2 linked regions of the Drosophila melanogaster genome follow. The protein of the gene in region 1 interacts with the protein of each later gene in a pairwise test. Each region holds a gene or a part of one and is shown on either strand. Other genes may lie near its edges.

What was found.
Region 2: the proteins of CG6425 (region 1) and Scp2 interact in a two-hybrid assay, tested with the Drosophila melanogaster proteins (one large-scale study listed by BioGRID).

Annotation. Positions count from the first base shown.
Region 1 is NT_033777.3:26,714,545-26,719,202, forward strand, and holds CG6425 (uncharacterized protein), read right to left. Parts: upstream 2,846-4,658; 5' UTR 2,721-2,845; coding exon 2,654-2,720; intron 2,595-2,653; coding exon 1,572-2,594; intron 1,507-1,571; coding exon 1,475-1,506; 3' UTR 621-1,474; downstream 1-620. Other genes in the region: Yif1 (Yip1-interacting factor 1), read left to right, coding at 3,434-3,482, 3,784-4,322, 4,378-4,658.
Region 2 is NT_033777.3:16,580,640-16,585,747, forward strand, and holds the start of Scp2 (sarcoplasmic calcium-binding protein 2), read right to left. Parts: upstream 3,025-5,108; 5' UTR 2,925-3,024; intron 1-2,924.

The sequences.
Region 1 (4,658 bases):
GGCTTCTGCAGCGGCTTTGGCTGCCCGCAGACGTCACCAGTTTGGACGCCCGCTGCCATTAGCCACCCACCATTCCGTGCTAAGTTGTAGCTAGTGTTTTGTCATTGGTTTATGCTGCGCTCCGTAAACATATGGCAGCATACTTGACTTTCGCTGACTTTCGGCTGAATGGCACGATTCGGCTGAATGGAGTCACTTGCTCCTGCGGTTCGAATGGCGAAGGGACTACTGACGACTGGAGGAGGACTATTCATAAACATGGGCGCAATTGCCTCTTACGCGTAATGGCTGCGAAAGGGCTTCAACTTTGACCTTAGCCCAAATAGGTTCATAAAGCCTCGAGCACCCAAGCCTTTAAACTGCAGGCCAAGCGAAAAGTGAAGACAGCTGGGGCAACTTTCGCCGGCTTTTCATGCCGACTTGATTGTTGCCTCCTCCCGAGTTTTAAGTGCGAGATGGGATTCACACACTTTGATTTCATTTGCCATAAATTCTGTTTTCCAGGGAAATCCCTTCTTAGACTCCTCATTGCATTTTAAATTTAATTTTATGAACTCCACATAAATTAACATTGGGTAATGTTTGCTTGATTGGTTGCCGGAAAAATAACTCAAGAGATAAATAAGTTGCAGTTTTTATTTGTTTTTCAATACAACTTATGTAATATAAACGAAAAATAAGAAATACTTTTGTATACACTAAATTATTAAGGCTTGGGTCTTGAATGTTTCATACATATATAAAAAACCAGCACAATGTAAGCATTTACATTAGGCTTAATAATATATTAAACAGGTTTATCAATAGTGGAAAAAAGAAAACGAAATATTCATTGAAACAATCGAAGATGATGAGGAATTGGCGTACTTAGGTAACGTGTAATTAAATACTAATTTTGTTGGGTTTATCAGCTGCTTCTCAAGCAACTCAAAGACGCGAAGAAATCCAACTGACCTATATATAACCATAGTCTGAATATTAAAACAGAAATCCTTCGCCTACATTTCAATTAATTTAAAACGCTGTCGCACTCAACGAGCTTCCTATCCGTGAATGAAAGCTCAACCGGGGGACGTCAATTCACTGCCTGTCGGCGACCAGTCGTATCCACCTGTCCGTCTGCGTCCTGCCACCTGTACTGGTGGTACTGGTGGGCGGCGCGTTCGCGGCCCGATAATGCCGAACATATGGCGAGTCGCATGCGCCGAACGAACGCACAGGCCTTCGATGCGAATATTAAGGGTCCTGCTTTAAATTACAATTAATTTTTAATTAGGCTTAAATTAACATTTTCAAAGACGCTTTGGAGCTGCATTAATCAATTAGCGTACTCGTATACAGAATGCTCAGGCAAGGGGGCACGCAAGTCAAGCGAAACAAAACGAAATATCTTAAACTCTAACTTTGCTCATCACAATTGGTACTCGCTGAAGGGAAGCTGATTGTATTCAGGGGCTGGTTACCTAATCGGGTTTCATTTCCGGCTGCCAAAGAGTTTGCCGCGCGCTGCAGGGAACGAAATGATGAGTTTGCTTTGGTCTAGAAATGTTTGACTTCACTCTGGCACTTACCATGCGATGTGGCTGGGGACAGAGCGTGCGAACTGGCGTGCCGTTTGATGCGCGGAGTATCCCTTAGCTCTGAACCAGATGCGGAGGAGGCACTTGTGCAGGCATTTGAATTGGCCGTCACATTGGTCAGGGTGGACACTCCGCTGCACGAATCCCCTGTGGTTGGCATTGATTTGTAGCGCTGCAGCGAGGTGCGCGGCTTCTTCGGCATTGTGGCCTGCTGCACTGCCTCTTCTAGGGCGTTTAGCCAGTCCTCGCCCTCGCTTTCGTCTTCCAGAAATTTCATGTAGAAGGAGGGTCGCTTTGCCGTGTGGTGCCTAGTGGGTGTGGTGCTTGTGCTTGATTTGGGAGGTTCATGGTGTTCTATTTTCGACTCCAGTTGCTGGGAGGCCTCAAGCAGGAAGAGATCCGTCTCCGAGTCGTTGAGGAAGTCTGCCATTGGATCGGAGGCAGCTACAGGGGAAAGCACTGGCTCTGGCGTAGCCTTCGTGCAGGTTAATCTTGTGCGGGGAGCAACAGGTGACGGAGCTTTAGGAGTTTTTAGTGGCATTACTGGTTCGGACACAGCTATTTGCTCCAACTGGCTATTGAGCCTAGCACAGCGCTCCTTAAGAAGAACATTAGCCCGCATCTGCTGTGCCCGCCACTGCTCATTGTCCAGTTGGCTGCGTCTATCCTCGACGCCCTTAAAGGCTATCTGCCGGCGTCGTTCGCGCTGGCTCAAACTGCCTATTTCCGCGGAGTCGAAGCCACTGTCCGTGGTGGCATTGCTGCTTCGGTTCCAGCGCCAGCCCACCTCCGGACTTTCGGTGGCCAGTGTCTGGGAGAAGAGGCAGCTGGGCGAAAGGCTGATGTCCAAACGGGGCGAGAAGTCCACACTGTCGTCCAAGCTGGGCTTGTGTTTGTGTGGTGGAGTGCTCTCCAGGTCGGACGTGATTCCCACTACTGCTGAGGAGTTGGGCGAGCCGGGAGTGTCCACGGATACACTTACATTGTGCCCTGTGCGTACGCTCTGTGGTGAAGCTATTAACAAAGGATTGTTTTATGGATATTCCTGATTTTTCGAGCTTGGAAATCCTTACCACTGTGGCGCTTATGCAGCAGACGCGTGCTGAGCGTTAAAGATCGCCGTTTAAGTGCGTTCTCCATAACTTTGACTTAACAATAAAGTGAACTGCAGTCAATTATTTAACTAATCAAATTTGTTTTGTTTTGCGCTGCGGAATGCGCTAAAAATTAAAGTAAGCCGACAGTGTTGCCAGATGGCACTGTCAAAACTCACATGGTCACTCTGCTATTCAACTCGTTTTGTTTATAGCCCTTTTCCACTTAAACGCATAGTTTAATAAAAAAATCCACTCTCCAAAATCTATGAAAATATTTTATCTTTAAAATACAATCAATTTAAATTTTCATCTACATATGTTCTTTTATATAATGGCTGACTTGATGATATTTCTGTTACCACCAATGCAAGAAATCAGTTATTTGAGTACTGAGACATCCATTGGCACATAAATCCATATATCGCAATAAGATGAACAATAGGAAATTGTCTTAAAGAAAGTTTAGTGTATAAATAAAATAGTGTATAAATTTACATATAAGTAAACTTACGGAGTAAACGTTATAAAAATAGAGAAATGTACAAATATACAAAATATAATACAAAAAAAAAAAAAAACAAAGATATCTATAATTTTTTTTTGTAACTTTTAGTATTTTATCTATCGGAGTGCAAACATTCTGGTAGGCGGTCATGCTTTGGTATTTGGCAACACTAAACTCCGGTCACACAACAAAATGCTTATGGTGATGTGTTAAAAAGCGAAATTTTGAATACAATTTACTGATCCAGAAAGATGAACTACAATCCAAATCCGGGTATGCGGAACCGTAAGTGGGAGAACTGTAAGGATCAGGCTACGCAAGCAAGTATACCTGAAGGATGTCCGGTGCAGCCACTCCGGAATTTCCCCACCCGCCGCTGACCGGAATCGGAATCCGGAGTGCTGTCACTGTTTACGTTACACGTTACCCCGTTTTGTGCGCCGCTCCTGGCTTCCACTGCATCCTGCTCCCCAGTTTCTATGCCTGCTGTGCGTTTCCGTTCCGTGATGCGTGTGTAGCTTGAGTGCCTGTGTTCCCCGCTTCCCAGTTGTATCGTTTAGATCCTCCGGCACTAACTAATGGTTGCTCTGTCCCAAAATAGCCTCAGCTGCCGGTCGCCCAAGGCCGCCGAAGCGTGTGAGTGATGTTAACGCCATGGGACCCTCGGCTCCGATGATGGGCGGTGGCGCCACCTTCATGGCCCCGCCCACCGGCCCCGGAATACTAGATCCCAATATGTACGGAGCACCTGCTCCGGCCCCGGTCAACAGCTATGGCTTCGACCCCAATCTCGGCCAGCCCTCGCAGCACATTCAGCAGCCACCACAACAGCAGCCCGGATACGGATATGGAGCACCACCTCCCCAACAGGCGGCTGGGCCACCCACCTACGGAATAGGAGCACCTCAGCCTGTAGCTCCACCCACTGGACAGTACCCACAGTTCGCCATGTTCCAGCAGCCCATCGTGCAAGACATGGCTATGCAGTACGGTCAGAAACTAGCGGATCAGGGCAAGCAGATCATGGAGAATCAGTTCGAGAAGTGGGTGCCCGTAGCCAAGCTCAAGTACTACTTCGCAGTGGACAACGCCTACGTGGGCAGGAAGTTGCGCCTTCTGTTTTTCCCCTATATGCATAAGGTGAGAGTGGTGAAGCACAAACGGAGAAACCATATAAATTACATACTCCTTTCAGGATTGGTCCCTGCGCTACGACCAAGAGCACCCAGTGCAACCACGATATGATGTTAATGCGCCAGATCTCTATCTGCCCACCATGGGCTACATCACATACGTGATCGTAGCGGGTTTGCTTCTGGGCATGCAGAAGCGATTTTCGCCGGAGCAGCTCGGCATTCAGGCCTCCAGCGCCATGGCATATAGCATTTTCGAATTGGTCATTTACTCCCTAGCCCTGTACGTAATGAATGTGAAGACGAGCCTGAAAACGCTTGATCTGCTGGCATTCACTGGTTA
Region 2 (5,108 bases), about 10 Mb from region 1:
GAGTGCTGGCTTAAAAGTGGATTAGTTCAATTACAATTTATGAAAAACGGAATAAAATCAACAATATTACCCACATTTTATTTAAAATTATGTCATAGCAAGGTCAAAAGTTAAGAGTCAAAATAAATTAAAAAATAATCTGGCCCAGTATTCATAATGCTGTATATTGCAAAAATTCATAAGCTGCATAAGCCCTCCTTCCATTTTCCCTTAGAACGATTAATCTTGTGCAAAGCTGACTTTGGCAATGTTAATTGAATTCACAAATTTCGCTGTCATAAAGGTTAATTTTGACAATTATTGCAATAGGTTAAATCGCTTGTTTAATTAATAAATTAACGATGGCCTCAAACAATGCGGCAGCCGATGTCAACTTCATTTAGCATTTAATGCACACACATTTGCGCGCAAAAATCAGACTGTCACAGTTCATTAATTTCCCACGTGCGCCTCAATTAACATCAGGTGAAATTGGAGTGGTAGTATGTTGGTTAAAATAAAAAATGAATGCTGAAAAAATAATCCACATCTCAACTGGCTAAAAGTACACAAAAAGTGTAATATTCAATTTGGCGCCCTTTCCATCTCCATTGGCAATTGCAATTCCGTGAGTTTCTTTCCAGAAGGGAATGAAAAGTGCTTTTCAACTGAAATACAATCACGTAGCCAGGGGCATAAGGAAATTAATGTTTTTATACGGGAAAATACAAATCAATATGAGACCACTTGTGAAATTTGTTCGTCGTTTAAGACAAATGAAACCGTTTTCATACAACAGTTTGGAGCCAATAATATTCATCCAAAAATATTCATACTATTTAGTTCTGTTATATTCTGATATATTCTCTCCTAGCATAAATCTTTATATGTTTATAAGTTTATCAATGCAAATAAATATATATAAAAGGTGATATAAATGGTCTGCTTGTTCCAGGTCAATTGGAAACGGGATTAAGTTCGACTGGATAATCTACGAGCCTGCTAGCCAATGCATTGCAATGCAGTGAAATCACATTTCAGTAGCACTTTCGAAATGGCTACGGGAAATGGCCGTGGAAATTTAAAGCCTTTTAATAGCCTGATGTGCGTATTATTTATCCTCGCATTTAATAATTAAATATGCGCGCAAATTGAATTCATCGATGTCATTTGTTTTTCAGTTTTCCGCTGGGTTCCGCTTTGTAGGGCGCCGAGCACATTACGCATACGCCGTGTGGCGCGGAAGTTTGTTTGTCGCTGTGGCACGGTCATTTGTGCCGCCGCCTTCCCATTAATTACCAATACTCATGCGCCAATGCATAAAAGCCACGCGCTGTTTGCCACAAAACTGCGTCGGCTTTTGTGGCACGAGGCAACCACATTAACCAACATCACCGCCGAAGGCTCGTTAATTGGGTTCTGTTTGAGTTTCGCTTTCATTTTTCGGGCCATGCAGCGCAGCAACGAGTTTCTAATAATGGAAATATGGCGGAAATCCCAGACTTTTATCTCCTCTCCGGCAATTAATAGCCATCTGTGAAGTTATAAATTTCAATATGAAGACATCAATGCTTTAATTGCTTTTTTAGTATCGGCGCGCGAGATGCGAAATGGTTTCATTCGATACAGCAATTTATTGGGCAATCAAATTAGAGAACACCCTACCACTCGTTTATCAACACAATTTGATTTGCATAAACTGGTTCTTGTTTTTTGGTTTGGGCTGCAATGTGTTTATTATGCAAAATCTGAATTCCCGACAGGCGAGGGCAGGCAGGAAGCTCATAAATTATTAGAGAATAAAATGTGGGATGGGGTCCGAAAAAAATGCAGATAGCTGACAAATGTTAGGCAGTGCTGAAAAGTATGCTACACTCTGTCAGACATGCGATTGATCGATTTTCTGGACAAATTGTAGTAGTTTTGATTGCATCAGCATGCAAATTGGACAGTGGAATACGTATTTGGCCTGCCATTGGCAGGGAATCTACAACTCGGTTTGCTGATCCCAGCAGCAGCCTAATCCCCCCGATGACCAGATGACCCAATCGCTTTTCCAATTCTCACCCATCTTCATTCTCAATTCGAGTTGGACGATGGCACAGTTTTCAACCGTCGCTAATTACTTTTGCGCTGCCGTAAATTTGCGCAGCCAATTTAAAATAATAGACAATGCAAGTGGCGTCGCCGTTTGCTCTTTATCTGCTGATGCAGCTCCGGGAATTGTCCGTGGTCCGCTGTCCACTGTCCGCCGTATTCCGCGTCCACTATTTGCCTTTTGTTGCATTGTCCGGTTCGCAGTAATTTCGTGTAATTTGCATTAATTTACAGTTTGACAATTTACAGTTTTACAATTTACAATTTGCAGCCACCGAGGAGCTGTGGAGCCAAGGAGCTCACAATGAGCGGCCTAAGGCCACCGACGCATGCCTGGCCAAACAACAGGACCGAAAAAACAGACACAGGCTGGCTGACTGACTGACTGACTGACAGGACGAGGATCCTTAGAGCGGCAGCGTTCGCTTCTCCTTGGCTTGGCCAGAGCAAAACTTTGGCCACGCTTTCAATGAATTCATTATGGCCCTGACCAAGGTGGGGCGAAGTAAGAATATTCTTCCAGTTGTTAAATTGTCGAGAGGTTGGTTGTGTTTTTTGCAAAAGTACCTCCAGCATACCCTACCCCCACCTTTCTTTCACAAACTATCTGCCCACTCAAGGAAAACTGGGGCTCTGGTTCCTGTTGAGCCTCGCAGCTCTTTGAGCCACCCACTTGTGCTCGTTACTTTTGGCTTGTTCTTTTGTCGGTTTTGGAAATGGGCTTTTTCGAAAAATGTTGCGGCATTATTATTCTTGTAGCGGAAACTCTCAGCACAAACACAGGTGCACTAGCACTAGCACTCGCACACACACACACACTCACACACAGAGATAGACGTTAACTTTACCGTTGCTTCTAAACTGACTCTACACTTTCTGATTAAATTTTGGTACCCTCTCGAACTGGACTCGTCTGCTCGGCAGCGCGGTTGGCCGTCTTGTGATGCTCGTTGCCATCGAGTCAGCGGCTTTTATATGCGCTACTCGTCTGCGCCGCCATCTCTGCCAGCGTCGGCAGAACTCGAGCGCTCTGGGTGCTCTATGTCATCGCAGGGGCTTTATCTTATCGCAGTCGCCGTCTCGGTCGACTCTGCCGACGCCTCTGCACTCGTCATGGTGTGAGTGAGTGCTGCACCCGACACGAGCCTGTGTGTGTGTGTGTGTGTGTGTGTGCGTGTGTGAGTAAGTGTATGAGTAGATGTAGTGCATGTAGCGTGCTTTTTGGCCACCACGTGCACTGTTACGAGCCGAACATCGGCATCGCCGTCGTCATCAGCATGCGGCATATTTGCTCGTGGGTTTGTTTTGGGATTTGACACTCGCAGAAAACTCCATGCTGGGCGCTCTGGTAGCCGGAATGCACTTTATATTTTGGTAATTAAATGGCACGTCTTATCGGAGCGGCATTCGCATACAATGTTGGGCTCAGGGGTTACGACGCCTCGGGTGGCCAAAAAGACACTGAGGGATGTGTGCTGGCTTTCTCGTTTAGTTACTACCAAAATTTAGAACTGTTCTAGAGGTTTTCCTAAGCCAACTTTAAACGTTGATCGCCCTTTTATCGCAAAACTTTGTTCCATCGAAGAAGCAAAGTCTAAGCTGCACAAAAACAATGATAAAGCCGAAAAGGAGGCAATCTATTAGTCAACATAAATTACTAATTTACCAATAAACTATAGCACGCTCCCCATAATACAGCAAACGTATACTCGAAGATAAATCAACATAATAATTTCTTCTGGGAAATAATTCAATTAATTACAACTTGGCAAATAAACCCCAAAGGATTTAAAAGAAATTGAGTTTTGCTAACAGCACATTATGATCACGATGATGTAGATGAGACCCAATACAACATAATACTCGTACAGCATCCACCCAAATACATCGACATTGTTTGCAGTGCACCACAACATAACAAATCAAAATGTGCAAATGTTCTGGACAAATTTTTAGCATAGCCTTGACACACACACAATAAACTGAAGCACTCACACAGGCATGCTCTCCCTTAAAAGAAGGCAACACGGACACACACAAACACATAGGCTGGCTGTGGACTCAACTTGGCTAAAGTTAATTTGGCCCAAAGAAGAAGGCAGCCAAAACAGCTGCTGCAAGAGCAGCAGTAGCAGCAATATAAGGCACACTTGGCGGCATAATTTCTGTTGGCGCATTCAATCTTGTCCAAGAGTGGACCACCAACCGACGAAAGTGGCTAGAACCGAAAAAAAAATGAAAGCATTTTGGCCAAGCAATTTCCAGGCTGTCTGCTGGGTTTTTAATTACACAAAGCAGACATATACAGCTCATGTATTTCAGCTGTTAATTGTCAAGTTTCGGCTGAAATGTCGCTACCAATTTATCAAGCGCCTCAGGAGCAGGCTCCCCGTGCCTTTTTGGCCCACATCCTGTGCTTCTCGCCCAGCGGGTGTCCTGCAGCCTCTGCTTGTTCCACTTTCACGCTGTTCCAGCAGCAGCTGATGCTTATTGCAGATGACCGTTTTACCAATGTTTCGTTCCGGCCACCTTGATTTCTTTTTGTAAGTGTGTGTGTGTGTGTGTGGGAGCGACGGTGCGTGTTGGAGTGGGCAAATGTTTAAATTTGTGGCCTTTTTACCTCTTTGCATCTCAAGTGGCCAAAGGCTACGTCCTGTGTGTGTGTGCAGGAAACGGAAGCCGACATTGACACAGTTTGAAATTAACATGAGCCTGGCCAAAGACCCACTAAAATCTTGAATGCCTTCTAGCGTTTGGCCCCATTTCACAACGTTTAGCTGTCCACCTATTTCATGTAGTTTTTTTTTTTTTGTTTTTGGGCTTCCATTCCACGTCTGCTGCATCGCCTCTTCCCTTCATTTTGCTCCGCCGCATAAGTGGGACCACTAAACGTTCCGTTGTGGCTCACACACGAGCGGACGAAGTACACTGAGAAAAGTTGCTCCAAAAACCCAGTCGAGCAACTAGCAAAACAACAGTAAAAGGCTATATGATTATGAATATATAACAGTGGGTCAAATTGTATGGGAGTA